Schizosaccharomyces pombe: one gene and its partner. The gene in region 2 interacts genetically with the main gene of each other region. Each region holds a gene or a part of one and is shown on either strand. Other genes may lie near its edges. The genes, in order: dbl8 and SPOM_SPAC1399.02.

Region 1 (12,086 bases), on a different chromosome or scaffold from region 2:
CCTACAATTAGTATACGCTCCACTCATTCTTGTGCTAATAGAAATTCAAAGTTAGCTGTAAATTTTGATTTACCGGTGTATCACCAAATCACTTTGTACTTCTCATGTTTAATTTAAGATTTCATTTTTGAATGTCGAGAAAAATTATTTAGTAATTGGTTTATTGATAATTTATAAATAATATAAAAGAATTACCATAGTAAAAAGGAAAAAGAAAAGTTCTAAACATATTGCCATAACTATAGTTACTCGCGTAAACGTGCTTCCAATTCTGCTTTACGAGCTTTACGAAGCTGTTCAACCTCATCTTGACTAGTGTTATAGCTCACATTCATCTGAAATTGTTAGTAAAAATGATATTTACAATGGTTTTCCTGTTTAGGGTTTATACATGATATGGTCATCATCAAAAAGAGTATGCATGTACCCTTATCGCTTCTTACCTTATTGAAAGGATTGTCCGGATGTTTCTGAAATTCTTTATACATTATGTCTTCATATTGGTTTAAACGGAGGCCCGGTTGTTCTTTGCGTAGTTCAGGCAAACGAGATTGTTTGTATTCTGTCAAAGCTGCTTTAAACCGACGTTCAGGATGACGATCAATTTTATCTTTGGACGATGAATTGTTTAAACTTAACAAATCCAAAGCATCATCAATATTGCGGGCACTATATGAAGCTGTCTGAGGGGTTTCGTTGAGGAAAGCGTCTAAAGATGAATTCTTCTTTGCAGCCTTCTTTGACCCCTTTCCTCCTTTAGATGGAAGACTCTCCATTTCTTCTTTTTCTAAACGTTCACGTTCAGCTTTCCTCTCCAACGCAGCTTTTCGTTTTTCAGCTTCTTGCTCCTTTTTATTAGTTTTGACGCCCTTGGACCATTTTTCGTCTTCTTCAGCGTCTTTTTTTTTCTTTTCCTCGTCTTGTTTTCTAGATTTTGCCGCTTCGGCCTTTTCTGCTCTCTTTTTTGGATTCCCCATATCAAGGCTATTAATGGTATGTGAGATTTGAATGACTTGAACAACAGGTGATTTCTATATGCCGCCTCGTTATAAGAAAGGCGACGAAGGATGGATTAATAATCTGATCTGATAATTTTTATAAGTGAATGTCTCGTTATATCTCCCTATTTTTATCAGTGTATTTACAAAGGTGTATTGATAACACTGAACAAACGGCGTCAAACGTTGGTATGTAACTGAATTTTTATCACTAAAATAGAAAATAAAAGTTCTTAATTGGAAATCTGCTACTATTTATTTCCTTAAATGCCTTGATGCAGGCTAAGGGTATATTGAATGGTATAGACACTGCATAATACACCATAAATCCTTTTTATGACATGATGGCATTCTTAACAGTGATAACTCATTAAAAAGAGAAACAAAGTCAACCGATGTAAATTGATCATACTCTTCAATTACAATATTATATCATGACAATTGTTATGGACTTCGATGTGTATTTCATGAAGTTTGAAAAAGTAAAATATATCATCAAATTAAATGCTTATTCTTGCCAAATTATTCAACAATATCGTACAGTGAACAATTGCTTTCAAGTATTGATTAGTTTATTGTAATCTATATAAGTATTAAACTTCATCTTCGATACAAATAACGTACAAACTAACATTCCGATCATCTTAATTGTTAAAGGAATTAATGAATCTATAATTCTAAATTATTTTTTTTAGCACTTAAATTTACTCATCCTATTATTTACATTTACAGTATACGGTTTCTTAACGAGTATACGCTATTATTATGCCGAAACATGAATGCATATCAATTTTGGTTCTACCAGCACTGTTCCTCTATTTTGAAGGGTTTATAAGTTAAAGTCAAGTAAGCATTACCTCTGATTATTATTTCATTTTATATCAAGTTCTTAATCAACGTTCTTATTTTTTTAATTCGTGTCTCTATATTTTGACAATTACTTGAAAACTTGTCATACGACAAAGGTAAAGAAGGAATTGCTAGCATTTATAGCTTTAAAACGATGTATATTTTCTATTAGGGATATATTGTTATATTTTTGACTCTCAACGAATACTTCGTACTCGGTTCCTTCGATTGCTGTTTATCCTATCTGATATAAATTTGAAAATTTGAATTAGACCCTATGCTAACATATTCTTAGTTACATGTATATATAGAATTTTTTTTCGTTTAATTTTATTTTTGAAAATTAAACTTTTTGATCACCTTTCGTAAAAGTTCCTTTCGATGAGCTTTCTGAATTCTTGGAGAGCTGTTAAATATACAAATAAGCCTAAGGAAGAAGACATCAAACTCCCAAATTCTGCATCAAATCTTCCAACTACTGTACAAGCATGTGTGATACAGTTTATCTCTTCTCTAGTTAGTCCGGTTCACCCTCAATTGCTTTCGCCTGAAGAACTAGCAAAAGCATTTCAAAACTTTTACAAGCATACCGATGAGTTTATTGCTTCAACCCTTATCCCTCAACCCTCTTCAAAAGATCAAAATGTGCCTCTTTTGTTTCCTGAGGAAATAGATGCTCAGAAAAAGGCGAGACAACACTTGCTGAACCAAAAAGATGAATGGATGGACCAAATTGAAGATATAGTTTGCGAATATTTGTATGATCGGTATGTGATTACTTCGCCTACAATAACTGTTTACTAATATTGTGTTAGGATTTTCTGTTTATCTACAAGTACGGATGCTGCCAAAGATGACTTGTTAAAAAAATTTATTGCTTCTGAAGAAAAGAAAGAACTTATCAATTGCATTCCAATACCTGATGATGAAAAACTTACAAACCGGTTACATGAAGTCTCTGAAGCATTTTTTGCTCTCGATGAGCAACACACACCTAGATCGAAAATAAACACTTTTATGACCGTTAATTCAAGTATATTGAATGCCTCTCAACTTCCTCAAGAAGAATTGAATGCTGATTCTTTATTAAATTTGACCATATATTGCATTCTCTGTTATCCCGGATTTCATTTAATATCGCACCTGAATTTTGTGTTACGCTTTCGAAATGCAGATTTTTTAAGCGGAGAGCAAAGATACTGTCTCACAACTTTTGAGGCAGCCCTTACTTTTATTCTTCGAGCTTGTCCAAATCTTTTAACTCAATCGTCAATTCAACCCTCTGATGATCCTCTTTCACTTGAGGTAGCTAATAGCGAAACAGTTTCGACCTCTAACTCGCTTCATGATCCGAGTGCAGAACCCTACCCTGTGAATCGCTCATCTTTATCTAATTTAAGAAATCTGGGACTAGCACTTGAGAAATCTTATGCCTCTCTACTTAGTAAAGTAGCCAATCACACTGCCAAAAGTTCAGAAGATTCTTCCAATTCTGTAGAATTCGTGGGCGACCCACCTTTGGAACGCTTTTTGACTGTTTCTGATGCTAGCGATCTTAAAATCGGTGAAATTGAACTTCTTCTTTCTGACTATAAGCGCCTCGCACGTTTGCTTTTTGAGAAAAATGGTAATCAGTAATTTTGACTGAATATTTTCTTTAAAAATTTCACATCCAGTTGGTTTTCGGCTTTGTTTATGGTTATTTGATTCATTTGAGAGACAAAGTCATATAGAAAAGTTATATGATTGATCAATATTTTTTTTTTCTTTGTTGCAGGTCAATTCGTGAACAGCTTAAAAGTTTAAAAGAAAATTTTTATTCAAAACAAGGATTGATTATTCCTTGACGTCTATTTTATTAATGTATGAATATCACAAAGAACTAGCAAAAATGATTTAAGCTTGTATGTTGACGCAAAGATTGCATGCGAATTAAATCCTTACAAAGGAAATATATGAAACGAATATATCATGTTACTGCAAAATTTTTAAATATACTGAATAAAATGAACTGTGATTCTTTGCTCAGTGAAGAAAATAGTCATATTTGAAACTAGGAATTAAACACACAATCACAAACTTCGGATTATAATGGGTAAGAAAGTTTTTTAAGTTGTCACATTATATATAGTAATGTTTAAAATATATTTCGGATAATCATATATATCTTAATTACAATAAAGAAGCGTGATTTTGGTACATGAATTTATATACACTTTCAAAATATACGTTCATTTTTTTATTTAAAATTTCTCTTAAGGCTATTTTATTTCAATGCGATAATCGAGTGCTGTGTGGACATCAAATGATTGGTTGCACTAAATGTTTATAGTGAATAGTGTAATTTACTTCCTTAGAAACCTAGATTTTGAAAAATTGCAGTCGCGCTTTAATAAGTCTACTTCGAGAGTGAGAATGCAGCATTAGCTTGTGGTTATGGAAAATGACGAGGCTTTTGATAGATTAATAAGAAAAATTCAGGAAAATCAAAAACACCCATCTTTCGAAGGGTCCAATAAAGTTTTGCATTTGGCGCTTTCATACCTAAATACTAACAGACAAAACCCTCATTGGGTTTGTGATCCTAAATTACAAGTAGCAGTTCGTGAATGTCTTTTTCTATTTTCTTTTCAAAATGATAACGAGTATCTGGTATGGTTCAAAAAACATTTGAACGAACGCCTTCAGTTATGCCCCAAATGTATAGTTAAATATCACCAATCTTTAGATGATTTCAAAAGTCTATGTTTAAACATTTTTCACTTTGACCCAAATACTCTTGAGATTGTAATGGAGAAAATTTATAGTTGGGACATTTTTCGGTTACAGGAAGTTCTCAAAACAGTGCCTAAAATCGACACGTCCTCGGCCTCTAAACCTATACTATGCGCCTTCTACGAAATCTTATACTCTCCTCGTATTTTACATAATAAAGAAATCTTTCCCTTGTTCCGAAACAGATTTCTTGAGTCCGGTTTTCTTCGGCTCTCGAAAAACCTAGTGCCAGGTGTCATAAGTCTTCTCTTCTCGAGAGATGATGAGCTCCGAAGATGGGCTTGCAGTATTTTAAGTGATGTAAAAACAATCTCCGATAATGAATTTAAAATCCTTGAGGGTCCCCTTCTTCAGGAAATTCGTTCTTTAGACCAGAAGAAAGAAAATGAGAACGAGATGCAAATTTTTCTGAAAGGTTTATCGTTGCTGTTAAAGCATGTTGATCATCTTTATTTTAGGGGACTTACAGGAAAAAATTTCAATGTCGCCGATTTTATTCTTTCGGGATTGCAAAGCGACCATACTAATTTATGTCCGTCTTTCCTTGTATGTTTACATTCTTTGTTATACTGCTATGGACGTAATTTTTGGACGCCAGAAATTTCTCCCAGTGAAGTAATAGATAAAATTTTTAATGGTAATGCTTATAAGAGGTGGACAGAAGAAAATACATCCAATTTTTCAAACGACCAAAAGGCAGAGAATCCGTTTGAATGGGCTACCTCTCTTTTGAAGACAATTTCAATCATTGATGAAGTTGAATTAATTAACAAAATTTTGATTAATTACACCATGCAATATAAAAAGGAACTGGAAGTCGGTTTCAAAAATGTTCAGTTACTTCAATCACTTGCTGACATATTTTCAGTTTTGTTTTCCGAATATTTTATGATTTTCCCCCATAGTGATCAAAGTTTACAAAACAAAGTATTTGAATTACATTCCACTTTAGCGATTAAGTTTGACGAGCTGTTTCGTTTGCTAAACTTGGAAAATGAAGAGTCTGTTGAATGGAGGCTTATTAAGAAAGTTTTTGAATACCGATTGAATTTAGATCTTTATATTTTGAAGCAATTCTATTGCCATTATTTGGACAGAAATAGAAAGCCACCCTTGAATATCAAATCGGTAAGTGAGTCTTTTAAAAATTTTTGGGTATATTTGCAAAACGTATTTCGAGAGGAGAAGTTCTTTATGGTTCGTATTGTTTTTCGTGCTTGCTCTACAGTTTGCTTGATTGATAAGTTGCCGCCTAAGAAAGTTGACATTCCGTTCAAAAGTGATTTCGAAAATGCACTAAACGGATTTGTTGCAACATTTTCTGAAATGCTTATTCAGACTCAATGTTGGCATTTGTCGGCACAAACCCAATTGGTTTCAAATCCTTTAACTTTTCGTGGAATCTTTTCACTCGTTTTTTCTCCAATTCTTGAGATCTCAACAGGAAGTATCTCAATTATTAAATCTATTTCGCTTTCTGACAGCGTTGTTGATACTATAGGAGAGCTATTGAGAAGCCAGTTTTCAAATACACTAAATTCTTCATGTTATGTTCTTCTGCAGTGGCTTAAAGTCAGAAACTTTGGAGGAGCCAAGCACATTGTTTATTTTAATAAATTAATTATAAACACTATTTTTGACTCTGTTGATGGCTTAACTTCTAAGGATGCGACTTTTGCAAAACAAGTGGAAAAGAAAGAATCCCTTAAGAATTTCTGGGAATCGTTATGGAAATTCTTTACTCATTTTTTCATTGTTCTTCCTACTTGGCCAGTTCATGATAAGGACAATTTAGTTGATTTAATGCGGGATACCCTTGATTTTTGCGATATGCTCATTAATATTTTTGAGGAAGTTAACGGATTCATTTTTGGATTATCGGATAACGATATTAAAATTGTTTCGGCTAATGATAAGGGCAGTGCTTTAGCTATGTGTATAGCTGATTCTTTGGTTACTGTATCTTATTGGCTTAAGTTAACTGATTCTTCACTTCTAACATCCGTTGTGAAAGTGATTTGTAAAATGCTTAAAATTTGTAAAAAGTTGGAGTGTCCAATTAGTCAAAATGTGATTGATATTATCCATAGGGCATCAATTACCAGTGATGAACAAACAATTCTTACATTCACTGAGAGAGAGGATCTTTTTATATCGCTCACACCATACCTTTCAGAAGACGTTCTTAATCACTCTCCTTTCAATGATACCAATACGCTTGAAACTAAGTTACAGAGTGATGATCGGGGTTTGCTTTCTAAAGACCAGACTATTGGGATTGCGAAAAAATTACCTGAGTCAAACATTAGTACTTCAAATCATTTTTTGCTTCCTCCGAAGGCTATTTCTGCTTCTAAAGCCATCAATAGAAATGCTCAAAAATCTCAAAATTTAAATTTTTTGAAATCTAAACAAGAGACAACACAGCGAATTCGCGAATCCGCGAAAGTTCCAAGAACCAGTGCGGGGAACCATCTTTCTGAGAAACTTAATTCGGATAATCATATACCAAAAGCTTTGCAAAAGCTCGATTCTGCTGACCCAATTCGCAAGCCTTCACTTTTGCACACTTCTAAAAGTTATTCTAATCCAGATGACAAAAATACTTCAACTTCCGATGAAGATACCTCGGAGTCCGAAGAAGAGTCTAGTAACGGTCTATTCTCGCTTGCACGTGAAGCTAATTCTCATGCCTCTAAATCTCTTCCACAAAGAAGGCAGATTCAGTTCTTGGACTTTGATTCCCTTAAAACAAAAAATGTAGTTCATCCTACTCAATTGCGCCGTAATACTCAACAAAGTGCACAACTTGCTCGACTCCGGCTAAACCCTGATGTTCAAGAGTTTTACAAAGTAATTTTGGGTTGGAACCCATTAGCTGATTCTTTTTCGGCGTCTAATGTTGAGATGCAGTGCGTCCAAGCTAAATTCACGTATAATGATTCAAACGCTTATGAGAAAGTTTTCAAACCAATGTTGTTTCATGAATGTTGGGCTCAAGTGAAAAGTGCCGTTGAAGAAAAGCAATACCCTCCCATAGATTTAATCCTCAACACCCGCAGTACAGTTGATAACTTTGTCGATATTTACTTTACGTCCTGTTCACCTACCGAAGTCTCTTTTTTAAGTGATACAGATATTTGCTTACTGTCAAAATCACAAAGTTCGGGCGATACTAATAACCCAAAATCTTTTCAGTTGTGCAAAATTCAATCCATTTCTCGTAAAAAAGAATCACTTGAACTCTGTCTGCGGATGAATATTGAATCAATTGATCTACAGGAGTATGCACCGAACATTAGGTTCACAGCACAAAAATTATTTAATGCTACTACTAGCTTACGTGAATTTGCTGCTTTAAAATCTCTTCGCCATTTACCATTGTCTCAGAGAATTCTGGATGCCAATGTAACGCGTCTACCTTCAAATTTTACAGATGACAAAAAGCAAAAAATAATGAAGTCTTATGGTGTAAATGAACCCCAGGCATATGCGATTTATGCATCTTCTGTAAATGATGGTTTTACGCTCATTCAAGGGCCTCCTGGAACTGGAAAAACTAAAACCATTCTAGGCATGATTGGAGCTGTACTTACTTCTTCTAGTCAAGGGTTGCAATTTAATGTCCCAGGACAGACGCGAAAAACCTCAAAGAATAAGATTTTAATATGCGCTCCTAGTAATGCAGCCATAGATGAAATTCTCCTTCGTATCAAAGCCGGTGTTTACGATCATGAGGGTATCAAATTTTTTCCAAAAGTTATTCGTGTTGGATTTGGTGACTCCATAAGCGTTCACGCTAAAGAATTTACTTTGGAAGAGCAAATGATAAAGCAAATGGAACTTACGAACCTAAAGAAAGATCAAGAAGCAAACAATTCCAGTGATACTCGGAAAAAATATGACTCAATTATTAAAAAAAGGGACTCTTTACGCGAAGATCTAGAAAAGTTTCGTAGTACTGGAAAAAATAGTTCAATATTGGAAGCACAGCTTCGTGAGATTACCAAACAGAAAAACATGCTTGAACAGAGCCTTGATGATATGAGAGAACGTCAACGCTCAACTAATCGTAATCTGGATGTTTTGAAAAAACAAATACAAAATCAACTACTTCAGGAAGCTGATATTGTATGTGCTACCTTATCTGCGAGTGGTCATGAACTACTTTTAAATGCGGGTTTGACTTTTCGAACTGTCATAATTGATGAAGCTGCACAAGCCGTTGAATTAAGTTCAATCATACCTCTTAAGTATGGCTGTGAGAGCTGTGTAATGGTTGGTGATCCGAATCAGCTTCCTCCTACTGTGCTATCAAAAACCTCTGCAAAGTTTGGATATTCACAATCTCTATATGTCAGAATGTTCAAACAGCATAATGAGAGCGCTTGTCTTCTTAGCATACAGTATAGAATGAATCCTGAAATTAGCCGATTTCCCAGCAAGTTTTTCTATAATTCAAAACTACTTGACGGTCCCAATATGTCAGCAGTGACATCTCGACCTTGGCACGAGGATCCGCAGCTAGGTATTTATCGATTTTTTAATGTTCACGGGACGGAAGCTTTTTCCAACTCAAAGTCTCTGTACAATGTGGAAGAGGCTTCGTTTATTTTATTATTATATGAGAGGCTAATTCAATGTTATCTAAACATTGATTTTGAGGGGAAAATTGGAGTTGTTACCCCTTATAGAAGTCAAGTACAACAGCTTCGATCACAATTTCAAAGAAAGTATGGTTCCATTATATTCAAGCATCTTGATATTCATACCGTCGATGGGTTTCAGGGACAGGAAAAGGACATTATAATTTTTTCTTGCGTTAGGAGTTCGATGAGCGGTGGAATCGGTTTCCTTCAAGATCTTCGTCGGCTTAATGTAGCTTTAACAAGAGCTAAATCATCTTTGTATATCGTAGGCAATTCTAAACCGCTAATGCAAGAGGATATTTTTTATAGCTTGATTGAAGACGCAAAAACTCGTGGTGTTTGGAGAGACTTGAGTGCTAATCAATTTAAGAACTCAAAAAGTATATCAAACGTTTCGACACACCTCGCATCTAACAATTTAAATTTAGCCTCACGGGATACCCCAATTAAGTCGCCGTCGGTTGGTATCTGTGAGGAAAAACAAGAAGCACATAAAGTCAAAAAACGGCACAATATAGATAGTGCTAATTTGTCAAGAGGAACTGAGAGAGATGAAGATATACCGAATAAGCGCGCTAAGAACAAAGTTTCCACTGATCAGACTGCTGCTGATAATAAGGTCACGAAACCACGCCTTGATGAATCATCCAGTTCCAAGCAAGATGTGTTAAACAAAATAGACGAATCTGAAATTGAACAAGCGTCTTCCAAAAAGCCGGGTTATGTGGAAAAAAATAAAGATAAAGGCCATATGAAAAAATCAAAAAAGCCCAAATCGAAACTTGCTCTGGCGGCGATGGCCCACGGTTTTGCACCTCCAAAAGTTGAGCATTTCAAAAGGAAGTAGCCGATTTAGGTTTTAGTATGAGTATTTTACAGTATTACTTTTTTAATAACACGAGTAGCGGGACGTTTTCAATCATTTGAATCTTAGACATAGTTTATTTATTAATATTTCTCCTATCTAAAAATGATTTTGCTTACAACAACACTATATTAATTTTTACTCAATGGTATATATAAACAGGACAAATGCACCAGTATATTCTATATGTTTGTGTTAGGATTATATCAAACTTGTATTAGCTCATACTCACAATTTCATTATTAATTAGCTTCCAAAATATGCTATAAATTAGCATATTATCAGTGCATGTTCAATTGAGTTCTACAAAATACATTGAATCTATAGATGGAGATACATGGCAAAAACTTTTTAGAGACATTAAAAGAATTGGAGAAACACGTAGATTCAGCACACTATGTTTCCATTGATTGTGAATTTTCCGGATTATTAAGAGACTTCAACCTTAACAACAAAAATACTTTACAAGACAGATATGAGTTACTGAGAAAAAGTAGTATACGATACACAATTTTACAAATTGGTATAACCTTTATTTATTTGCAAAACAATGGAAAATCTTCGTGTATTCCCGTAAATATTAACGTAAGTCCTCTAGTTAAAGATGAATTGCACCTTAAGAGAGACTTCTGCTCGGAGGCTAGCAGTATTAAGTTTCTGATACAACAAGGTTTTGATTTTAATAAACAACTGACAGAGGGTGTACCATACTTATCACGGATTGAAGAAAGAAATTTGATCGACAAGGTTAATGAAAGATCAACTGACGACTTGACCAGCTCAATTTTAGATGCTTGCGATGAAGAAATTCTTGTTGACGCAAGAAATCAAATTAAGAATTGGTTATCGAGCGAGTTGTCACATTCCACTTCAAAATACTTGAACATTACTACCTCTAATCGTTTTATAAGAAAAGCAATACAATCCCTGGTTAAAATTGAATTTCCAACTTTAAAGAGTTACCCCAAAAGAACATTTCTGCAGGTTCGGAAGGCTATTGAAAATTCGACAACTCAATGCTCTGCCACTTCAAAAAGCGAACTCAAAGAAGATATTGCGAGCGACCAATTAATACTTAACAATCTAAATTTGATCAAACAGAATGTTGGGTTGCGACATTTATGGGACTATATACTTAAGAAAAAAAAGTCAGTAGTTTGTCACAATGGCATGGCAGATTTGGTGTATTTGTTTTCCCTTTTTGAAGGAAAAGTCCCGGAAACGATATTAGAGTTTTCTGAGCTTTGTTTATCATCTTTCAAATCTATATATGACACTAAACTTCTCTACTTGAAATCCGATGATCTTCAACATGTATCAGATGGGATACCAACGGACTTACTTTCCTTAGTTTCAAAGATATCTCTACCGCCAGTACCTTCTAACTCCTCATCTCAAAGGTCAAATGTTTCTTTAAATTCGCTGATTGAATGTCCATATAAGTCAATGATGAGCAGAAAACGCCCACATGAAGCAGGAAAAGATTCATACGACACTGCTCTACTATTTGTTTACTACGTTATGAGAACAAAACACTCGGATATACAGCGATGGCAAAATGTTCTTCCAATTCACGGTAGTTTTCTTGACCTAAATAAATATTGCAGTTGATTGAATTGAAGCGAATAATCTTCTAAAATATTCAAAGGTTATATAAACCCTATGGAGATTACAATAGTACAGGTGGCTGATTACAAACTCATGGATTATATGCAAGAATGGTATGTGACTAATAAAATTGTCAAAGGATGTTATTGGAAAAATGTTAGATAAGTTTCAATGAGGCTCAATTTTGAGGTTTAAAATTATTTGAGAAATGAAAAAATTGAATAAGGATTAATGAGGAAATTATGCCTTAAGCTCACCAACACCACCCCAGCTACAAGAATCGGCACCATGATCCTGAGTGTAAGCGTTAAGAGCAATGCTAAGTTGTTGGACACCAGTGCA
Region 2 (9,149 bases):
CAAAAATGAGAAAACTTTTTTCAAGACTTTTGTAGGGAAAGAAAAGATGAGCGAAATTAATTAAGTGACTTTAAATAACAGATTGAAATATTAAACGAGCTGAGTGAATTCGTTAATGAAGGAAAAAACGTTCGTAAACAAAAAAAAAGAGCCGACAAAAAAAATGGAGGAAACCAACAAGTGCCGTAAAATATTTCACCTTTACAAATAATAGCAGTTATGTAGTATTAAAAAATCCTACAAAGGTTTGACAAAGGCCTTGCACTGTGGCTTGAGTAGAAGAAAAAGTGGAATGTTGAAATATTTTCAGAGCAATCTAAGAGGTAACAATGACCAGAGGTAACAGAAATTTCTCCACAATAAAAGTGGCGAGCAAGCGATCTTTGGAAAAAAGATGAGTGAAAAGCTGTGTGCTATTACAAAACAGATCGTTAAATGTTTTATTTTATGTCGCCTTTCAATTCCCTCAATGTTAAGCCTATAAAGTTTGCAAATATGTATTTTCTTAGGAAGAAACCTTTGTTTATATGTAGAGAAAATTTTTTATTTCGCAGCGCAATCAGAGGAGATAGAGATATCTTTCGCGTGTAAGTTTAAATCCAAAACGCTAACTAACTTAATGTGATAGAAAGCCAACCAAGAGGCTGAATTCGTAGATTGTAAGGAATATGGGTATTATCAAATGACGAAGATTAGATTACGCCGCCGTCCTTAATATAAATTAATGATAAGTATATGAACGGATGCACAATAGAGATAATTGATAAAAACTTGGCTGTGCAGCTGACCTGATTCTCAAAAGCTTTACTTGAGGTATAGATAAAGCAACGAAATAAGATATTTTCGCTAAGTCTGCAAGTACGAGAAATCGGGCGTAGGCTGATCTATGTGCAAAACGGTATGTTAACTCAAAAGCCAAAATATAGGATGATAGAGTAAACTCGTATAATCAATATGAGTCAAAAAAAAGTATGAATGGAATGCAGGGTAATGCTTTTTGAACGAACAATCAAAGAAATGAAGGAGGAAAACAGTGCGAATTGAAGTTAACAAACGAATGGAAAAGATGAATATCGACGATAAAACAAACGTGTAATGCCAAACAAAATAGAAAAAAATGAAATGTAGAAAAACTCAAGAAAAAGACAGTGTGGACTTTGGTAAAAGCTAGTGATCAATTAATTTCCGGATCCAAAAGAAACGGATAGATGCAAACAATGGTGTCGAAAGTAATGTCGACTCCTACAAGAAACTAATTAGTCGTATCAAAAATTGATTTTGATAATTGATGAACTTTGCTTAGGTTTTATAGTTAAACTAGTTTGCTTGGAATAGGTCGATAACGGGTCGTCCATTTCGTCTTTCAATATAACAAGCTATTAACTATACTTGTTTTCATTCATTTTTTTTGATAGGAAGCTCACCGCGGCAAGCCTTTTTGTAGTTTTCTGTTGATTTCGTGGTTTTGTTGTCGCATCTATTTTTTTGAGTTTAAAGTTGTCAAGATAAAAATAAGGCCAGCAGTTGAACACATCGCTTAATCTTATCAGTTAGTTTTTCACGTAAGTAAAAAGAGTTTTCGACGAAGATTCTCAAGTAGTGTTTTGGTTTTAAATTTTTCTAAAAAGAAATGATATTAGAATGCCGCGCTTCAAACGGCTTGTTCCACCAAAAAGGTATAGTCTCAGAAAGTGCGATGATTTTTTTATCCATCGTTACCTTGTTCGGGAATGCTGCTACGGTCTGCGCAGTATGAAAACAAGTGAACAACTGATCAATCAGTAAACATAAGAAATCCTTAGTTGCGCAGTTTAGAAAAGATGCAACTATAGCACCTTTTGCAAGCAAAGCAATTGAGCTAGGAAGAGATAAATGATTTTATTAAAAAATATTAAAATTAAGTAAAGAGTAATCCCTACACCGTAAACCAAAATAAAAAAGAAAGAGAGAGGGAGAAAAACTAGTAAACATTGTTTGCGACAGATCATGGCAGTAATCATGAATTTTTAACACTTTTAACTCCTTATGGCGAAAGATTTTGTTTTAACATGCAATACACTTTAGCTCCCTGCCTCTAATGCGAAATGAAGAAATGTAGTGTAAAAACAAAAAGCAGATTAATTATTTTTGTAAACTTATCGAAGAAAAAATCATTAGCATACAACAATATCAGAAAAAAATTATAACAATCAAGTTCGATCCTTGGTTAAAAAAAAAAAAACCGAAACAAACATTAAACACTAGTAATAGAAAACACAATGTTTTTACCAGTCAAACGTAGATAAAAAAAATCAAGTAAATAGACAATGACCTTATTCTGCAATGTAAAGAAAAATAAATTTAATAAACAGTTGTTTTGGGATTCTTCAACAAAAGCTTTTTAAAAAATAAGTTTCAAGGAGCATCTTTAAATCCCTTATCCTTTTCTTTGTACTCCGTGACGCTTTGAGATAATTTCTCTTGCTTTGTAAAAAACGACAGAAGCATTCCTACTCCTGCAACTGGACAATTTACAATCCAGATTGTACGAATGGCATTAGCATAGACATTGAATACAAAGTTTCTCTCGCTTACGCTGGGAATTGAAGCAATTTGAGAGTATGAAAGCCCTGTAGAATATTCCGTTCCTTTTAGAAGTGTCGTAAGTTGCTGATCATAAATTACCGCTCCTATCGATATTCCCACAGATGCACCCATATTCCTTAGCAGCATAAATGCGGAACAAGAAGTCGCCATCAAAGCAGGAGGTACAGAAGCCTGAATAGCAATAAGATTGGGTTGGAACAGGTTGCCAATTCCAACAGCTGTCAAAGCCAAGAATCCCATGGTACGTGGTATAGGTGTGTCATAGTATATTGCGATCATACTACCGGTACCAGCTAATAAAACTATCCATCCTCCAATCATTGGATATCGATAATTTTTCAATTTTCCTATTCCCATACCACTAATGGCAGAAACAACTGAAGATACAACTGCCAGAGATAAAGTATGAACACCAGACATTAACGGACCATCACCCTTGATGCTTTGAAAGTAGATTGGAATGTAATAAGTCACAGTTGACATGATATAATAATGTAAGAAGGAGGTTACCATCACAGAAGATAAAGAGAGTGTTTGAAACGCCGAGGGAGCAATAATTCTAGTGCGGGTGGTATAAAGTTCATTGACGACAAAACCGGCAATGCAAAGGATACCAAAAATTAAATAGCACAAGACATTGGCATGGGCCCAATGTCCTGTTGTAGATCCGATGTTCAAGCCAAGTAAAAATAACACAACACCAGTCGTAATGGTTACAATGCCCACAAAGTCAAAATCACGTAAAAACACGCAAAACGAAACTGTAGGCTTGGGTACAAGATTGAGGAAAAAAATCAAGAGTGCAAGCGAAAGACCACCAGTAGGTAGATTAATGAAGAAAATCCAGCGCCATGTAGTATTCTGTGAAATTGCACCTCCAATTAAAGGACCCATAACAGAAGCAACCCCCCAAGTGACTCCCATACAACCTGTGTAATAAGGTCTGGTCTGTAAAGGAGTAATGTCAGCTATAACGATTGTAACTAAAGACATAATACCCCCACCGCCGATGCCCTGCACAGCACGGCATAGTACAAGCCAAAGCATATTTTGGGCAGCACCACACATGGCACTACCGAAGAGGAAAAGAACAATGGAAGTATAGAGGACAATTTTCCTACCGACTACTTCACTCATAATACCACAAAATGGAAGGATAGATGTTTCTGCCAATGAATAAGCAGTACCAATCCACGAATACGATGAACCGCCGTCGAGATTTGCTACAATAGTGGGAATAGCCGTAGTAATGACGGTTTGATCCAAGGCAGCCAAGAAAATCGACAACATAAGTCCTGGAATAACGATGTACAATCGATTGGAGGGCAACACAAGGGTGAAATCAGGAGAATCATTTTTTTCAGACGAGATTTCATGGGTTGAAAACCGAGACTTTAGAGAACCGGCACCATAAATTTGATCTTGATTCTTGAAAGAAAAGGCTTTCGAGTTTATAGACTTTATTTCGTTTGCTTCATCAAGCGCAGTTGGATACCAAGCTACTTCACTGCCTGTGGTATAGAGTTGTAAACTCTTTGGGGAGGCCAAATTACGATTTGGAGAAGTAGAAGGATTCATTATGTTTAGTAACTTTATAACACAAATACACTAGGGAAAAAAATCCGTAAGGAAGAGGGTGAATGCAGCTAGGAGAAAAAGAGATATTGCTAGGAAAAAAAATAATATTGAAGGAAAGAATATAAATAATCAAGACAACGAATGCAATTTTAATGAAACAATTGAGTAAGTCTGTTACAATCAGAAAGGGGGGAAATTTTAACTAAATCACAGAATAAAAACACTACTTCCAGGATGCCTAGTTTTGGTTATGGTAGAGTTTTTTTTCTACTTGCCTGGAATGAGTACGTTTTGAGAAAACACATAGATAGGAAATTATAAGGAAGGAAAATTGACGCGGCTTTAAGTGCACATATTCTTAGTTTAAAAATAAGAAAATATGCACATTAGGCCAAGTAATTACCGAGTAAGCATTTTCATGTAGAAAATTTGAATACGATCTTTAGAGGCAATATTTATACAGGATTTTTCTAACGATGGAGCAAAGGGAGAGCAAAAAAAAAAAAGCCGCGCTAATATCCGGAAAATAGGGACACTGAAATAAGGAGGTTCGTCGAGAAAAGTCTACAGAGTGTCTATGCATAAGAAAATGAAGGGAAGTCGAAAAAAGCAGGCATTTAAAAACGACGAGAAAATGAATGAAGAGTATTCCTTTTTGAGTGAGCAAAAACGATAATGCCGTGAAGAAATGAGCAAATTTACCAAGATAAGAGGATATCGGGATAGTTGATTAATATTGATATAGATGTAATGACAGCAATGTATAGTATTATAAATTTGTAATCTTTTAAAATGTGAGGAATGTAGAAATAATCGTAAACATGTATGATATTATAAAGGGAAAATAGGGGATCGGAGTAAACAAGTAAGTGAATGAAGAGAGAGAGGGTTGACAAAATATTGCATATCAATGGAATGGTTAAGCAAACATTGAAATGAGTAAGTAAGCAATGAAATGATTAAGAAAAGTTTTAATGAGTCAAAAGAATGTTTGTGGATCAACAAGGTGCTTTTGAGGGTCGATAAAGTGCTCCTTTTAAGGATTTTGTAACAATATTACAATAACGCTTCTATATGTCTTTAGTTGTACGTCTTACAAAATCTACAGCAACGATTTTTTTTATGGATTGAAAAGTGTGCGTATGTACAGGCCTGTAATACAACTCTTTTTTTCAAAGAATTGCAATGTTTATTGTACATTTGACTTTTTAGTCTGACTGGCTGAAACAGCATGTCGGAATTGTTAATGGCCTTTACCTACTATTTCCCACTTTAGCGATGCTTTATTATACACTATCCTAAGATACCGAGCAAGATGCAGAAATGCAGAATTCCCTGATTAGAAGAAAGAGAAGTGATGTTTTTAAAAAAAAAAGTGAATTCTACTCACAAACCTTTTTTTTTTTTTTTTGGGGGTTGTAAGACTGTAGCATCATATTATTTGGAAAGATTTCATCACTCACACGGTAAGGAAGGAAGGAAGAAGGGAGGTGGGTATAGCGGAAGTAGCCACCTGCACACTTGGACGAAAGGGGATTGAGTGAGGAAAGGCCCGAATTTTCGAAGGTTTGGAATTTGTCGAATGTGCAGAGGAAAAGTGCAGCTGAATAAGCAAGGTGAATCTAGGAAGGTGGGCTAGAAGAAAGTGAAAACTAAGCAAGTGTTTTGGGTATTTAGTTTTACAAAGCAAGCTGGAGAGGTTTAGAGAGGCAGTAGGTAACTCAATAATAATGCGACCGGGGGGAGGGAGGATTAAAAAAGATGGATATAATAATTTTTACTCATTTTGCGGTTCTTTTGCATATAAAGAACTTTAAACACCACGCTGTGAAAGACGAGTGACATTGATAACTGGAGTGAATGGGATTGCATCGGTCTTTAATAGATATTACGTTTTAAAGCACTACAAGCACTAGTCAAAGTTGACCATTACTGACAAGTAGCGTAGATAAACAACGTAGGTGGGAAGGGCACACTAGAGCGTATATAAGGAGAAAGAACGCATGTAAACGTTAAAGGGATATAGTGTGATGCGCTGCACAAACATTGATTAATTTATCCAACCAAAAACCACGCATGGTAGAGCGATTTGTTTACATTTCAAGGAAGCGCTCGAATGGATTGATTTTTGATATTTGAATTATGAAACAAAAGGATCGGTTGTTTGATGAGAGTAAGATTCCGTGATTGAGGAGGTTTCTAGCTTTTCTAAGTATGGTAAACCAGCAATTCCCACTTTGCATATCCTTCGTTGGTCGGAAAGAGTGGGTGAGGGTGCCTTTTTCGTTTACGTGTGAGCGATAGATAGGGGAACGAAAGTTCGCGGACTTTTTTGTCAGCAAGTCTCGATAAGATAGCGCAGTGCAGTGTAGGCGGTATGGTGGAAGGGAGGAAGAGTGTGTGTGAGAGAGAGAGAGAGACGGTATGAGAGAAGGATGGAAAAAATGGAGCAGGGAAAGCAGAAACATCGTTCGATTTGAAACAAAAGGAAAAGTATAAAGAGAGAAGAAAGTAGGAAAGTAATGAGAGTAAGAGCAGTAATAGTAACATAGGTATTGCTGGATACAATGGGATACAATGGGTAGAATGTTGATATTGTAGATGTAACTATATGTGTAAGTGTAGCTTGTCGCATAGCAAGTATAGTAAGCAGGCTGACAGAAACACAGACAGATAAATACACAAATAGACACAAAGACTATCCATCTACATCGTTTCCAACTTCAACTTCTGCAACTGCAACTCCCACTTCAATTTCAATCTCATTTTCATAATCGTTTTCTTGCATCGCCTTTGCCTTTCCCCAATCTCCCTCTCTCTTTACCCTCCTCTACCATCTTTTTCGTCGCAAAAATCCTTACTCACACACTCTCTTTCCGCCTCTTTATTTCTCCCTCCGCCTCTTTATTTCTATCAACGCTCTCGGCCCTCTATTATCGCTCTCGTCCTAAAGCGATTGACTAAGCTAAAAGTACTTTGTTCATCCACTCTATCTAGCCTGTCCAATCCGTGCTATATCTACCCCGACAACCTCCCTGACTTGTCGTTTCTTCTTTTACGCATCGCCCAATGCCTGTAAGCTGCGTCAACGATGATTAGATAGTTTTGTGTTGGACGAAAGCGCCAAACGAATCGGATTGGTTTGAGGTACAAGGCGATGAATGCTGAGTGGTGGATTCGGCTGCGAATACAAAGACAAAACAAAATCGGCGTTTGCTCATTGATAATCAATGCTCCTATGGGTGGTGAGTGATGTGAGATGTTGGAATGGGCAAATCGCATTTGTTCACCCCTGCTTTTCCTAAGATTAGTTACTAAGTATGTATTAAAATTTCCTTGTATAGCGGACTTGCCAAAATGTAATCGCCGCTATTCTGGAAAAGAAAGTAGTTCTTGAGAGTGTTGAATTTGTATTTAATAAGGCTTATTGACACGATTTCATTCCAACGAATTGCGCTTCACAAGCAAAGCAAAGCAAAGGCAACAGCAAAAGCGAAAACAAAAACAAAAAAGTAAATCCAAGTCAAGTCGAGTCCAGTAAAGAGTATTGTATCCTTTAGGTATAATACCCTTGTTTAATTACAATTTTCACTTGTTTAATTACACTCTTCACTTGTTTAATTACACTCTTCACTTGTTTAATTACACTTCTTCCTCTATCAAGTTAGTGTTTCGATTGCTTTCATCTGAATTGTTTGGTAGGTAAAAACAACGCCTATTTTTTTTTTGTCGCACCATCCAAATTACTTTGTATCAATCCCATCACTCCTCGCAGTGCTTTGTCTCGCTTTTACAGTAGGATTTTTGCGTTGTACCATATACTTCACGAAATTTTGCGCTTCATTAAATTGTCTCTCTCTCTATTGACTCTTTGTGTGTGTGTCTAGCATTTTCTGACTACTTGTAGTTGTTATCCTTTGCTATCGCGCTCTATCTAATCAGCTCATTTTTATTTATTTACATCCATCACTCCTTGTTGCAAGGTTAGAGATTTGACTAGTTCCATCCTTCTTCTTAATCACTGAAGTCATTTTTGTACTTGTCATTCATTCCAACTTGTTTATCTCAAGTCATTCATTTATTATCCTCCCTATAAATTGACTAGGTTGTTCCCCCCTTAACAATTCACTCATTCTTAAAACAACCCAAAGTTACTATAGTAGCGTATCCTTGACATAATCTAAATTGATTGCGTCGAAAAAAGAAAACACTAAAAGAGCACCTTGTCGTTTTTTTTGCCTTACACCAAAAAAAAAACTCTTTGTATATCTCTGAAAGAAAAAGTTTTGAAGCAAACCTTTTATTTCTTCACTTTTTTTTTACTTACTCTGTATTCTTTTATTCTCTCAACTCTGCCTTTTCATTAAGCGCTGTCGATAGCATACCCTCTTTGCCATATCGCTTCGTTTCACCTTGTCTACTCTTCTTCTACTAAAGGAAATAAAGTTTTTTAATTTTTAATTTGCTCTTTTCCTTTCTCTTTATTTAATTGGCTTATTGTTCGATTCCTCTTTTGTTCAATTGTGGATTTCTTGGGGTTTCTTATTTACTAGCTGATTGTTCTTTGGTAGTTTTAGAGGTAATTGTTTTTTTCCTGTACGAACTTTTCTTAAAGTTTGTTGCGTTGAGATTTCCTTTCGTCCTAACTTGTAATATCTAATTCTTATTAATATCTTTTCTCTTTTTTTTTTCGTTTTCGTCTCTTCTTATTTTTTTTTATCTTTAATTTTTCTACAATGTCGGAATCCATCCAAGATCAAGATCACGAAAAGACTACTATTATCGAAAAGACTCGTCGCTTTGTTTTATCCATCTTTACCAAAGACTTTTGGATTGGCGATTATGATTATTCCTTTTTGCTACCTGCCATCCCTTTCACCAAACAAAAGCCAAAATCTCCCCCTTTTTTCTCGTTAAATGCCAAAGTCCCTGTCTTGTTGGCTTTGCTTTTGGGATTCCAACACGCTTTAGCCATGGTCGGCGGT

The links.
Region 1: mutations in SPOM_SPAC1399.02 (region 2) and dbl8 together harm fitness more than expected from each alone (negative genetic interaction), as found in Schizosaccharomyces pombe (one large-scale study listed by BioGRID).

The regions. Positions count from the first base shown.
Region 1 is NC_003423.3:2,555,325-2,567,410, reverse strand, and holds dbl8 (ATP-dependent RNA helicase Dbl8), read left to right. Parts: upstream 1-4,241; 5' UTR 4,242-4,283; coding exon 4,284-10,118; 3' UTR 10,119-10,261; downstream 10,262-12,086. Other genes in the region: oxidative stress transcription coactivator/ribosome recycling protein Oxs1, read right to left, coding at 246-335, 444-977; guanyl-nucleotide exchange factor Muk1, read left to right, coding at 2,229-2,614, 2,663-3,485; tri1 (CAF1 family ribonuclease), read left to right, coding at 10,464-11,747; 1,3-beta-glucanosyltransferase Gas2, read right to left, coding at 11,985-12,086.
Region 2 is NC_003424.3:1,843,727-1,852,875, forward strand, and holds SPOM_SPAC1399.02 (transporter), read right to left. Parts: upstream 4,420-9,149; 5' UTR 4,165-4,419; coding exon 2,395-4,164; 3' UTR 1,922-2,394; downstream 1-1,921. Other genes in the region: SPOM_SPAC1399.06 (uncharacterized protein), read right to left, coding at 6,258-6,632; SPOM_SPAC1399.01C (transporter), read left to right, coding at 8,901-9,149.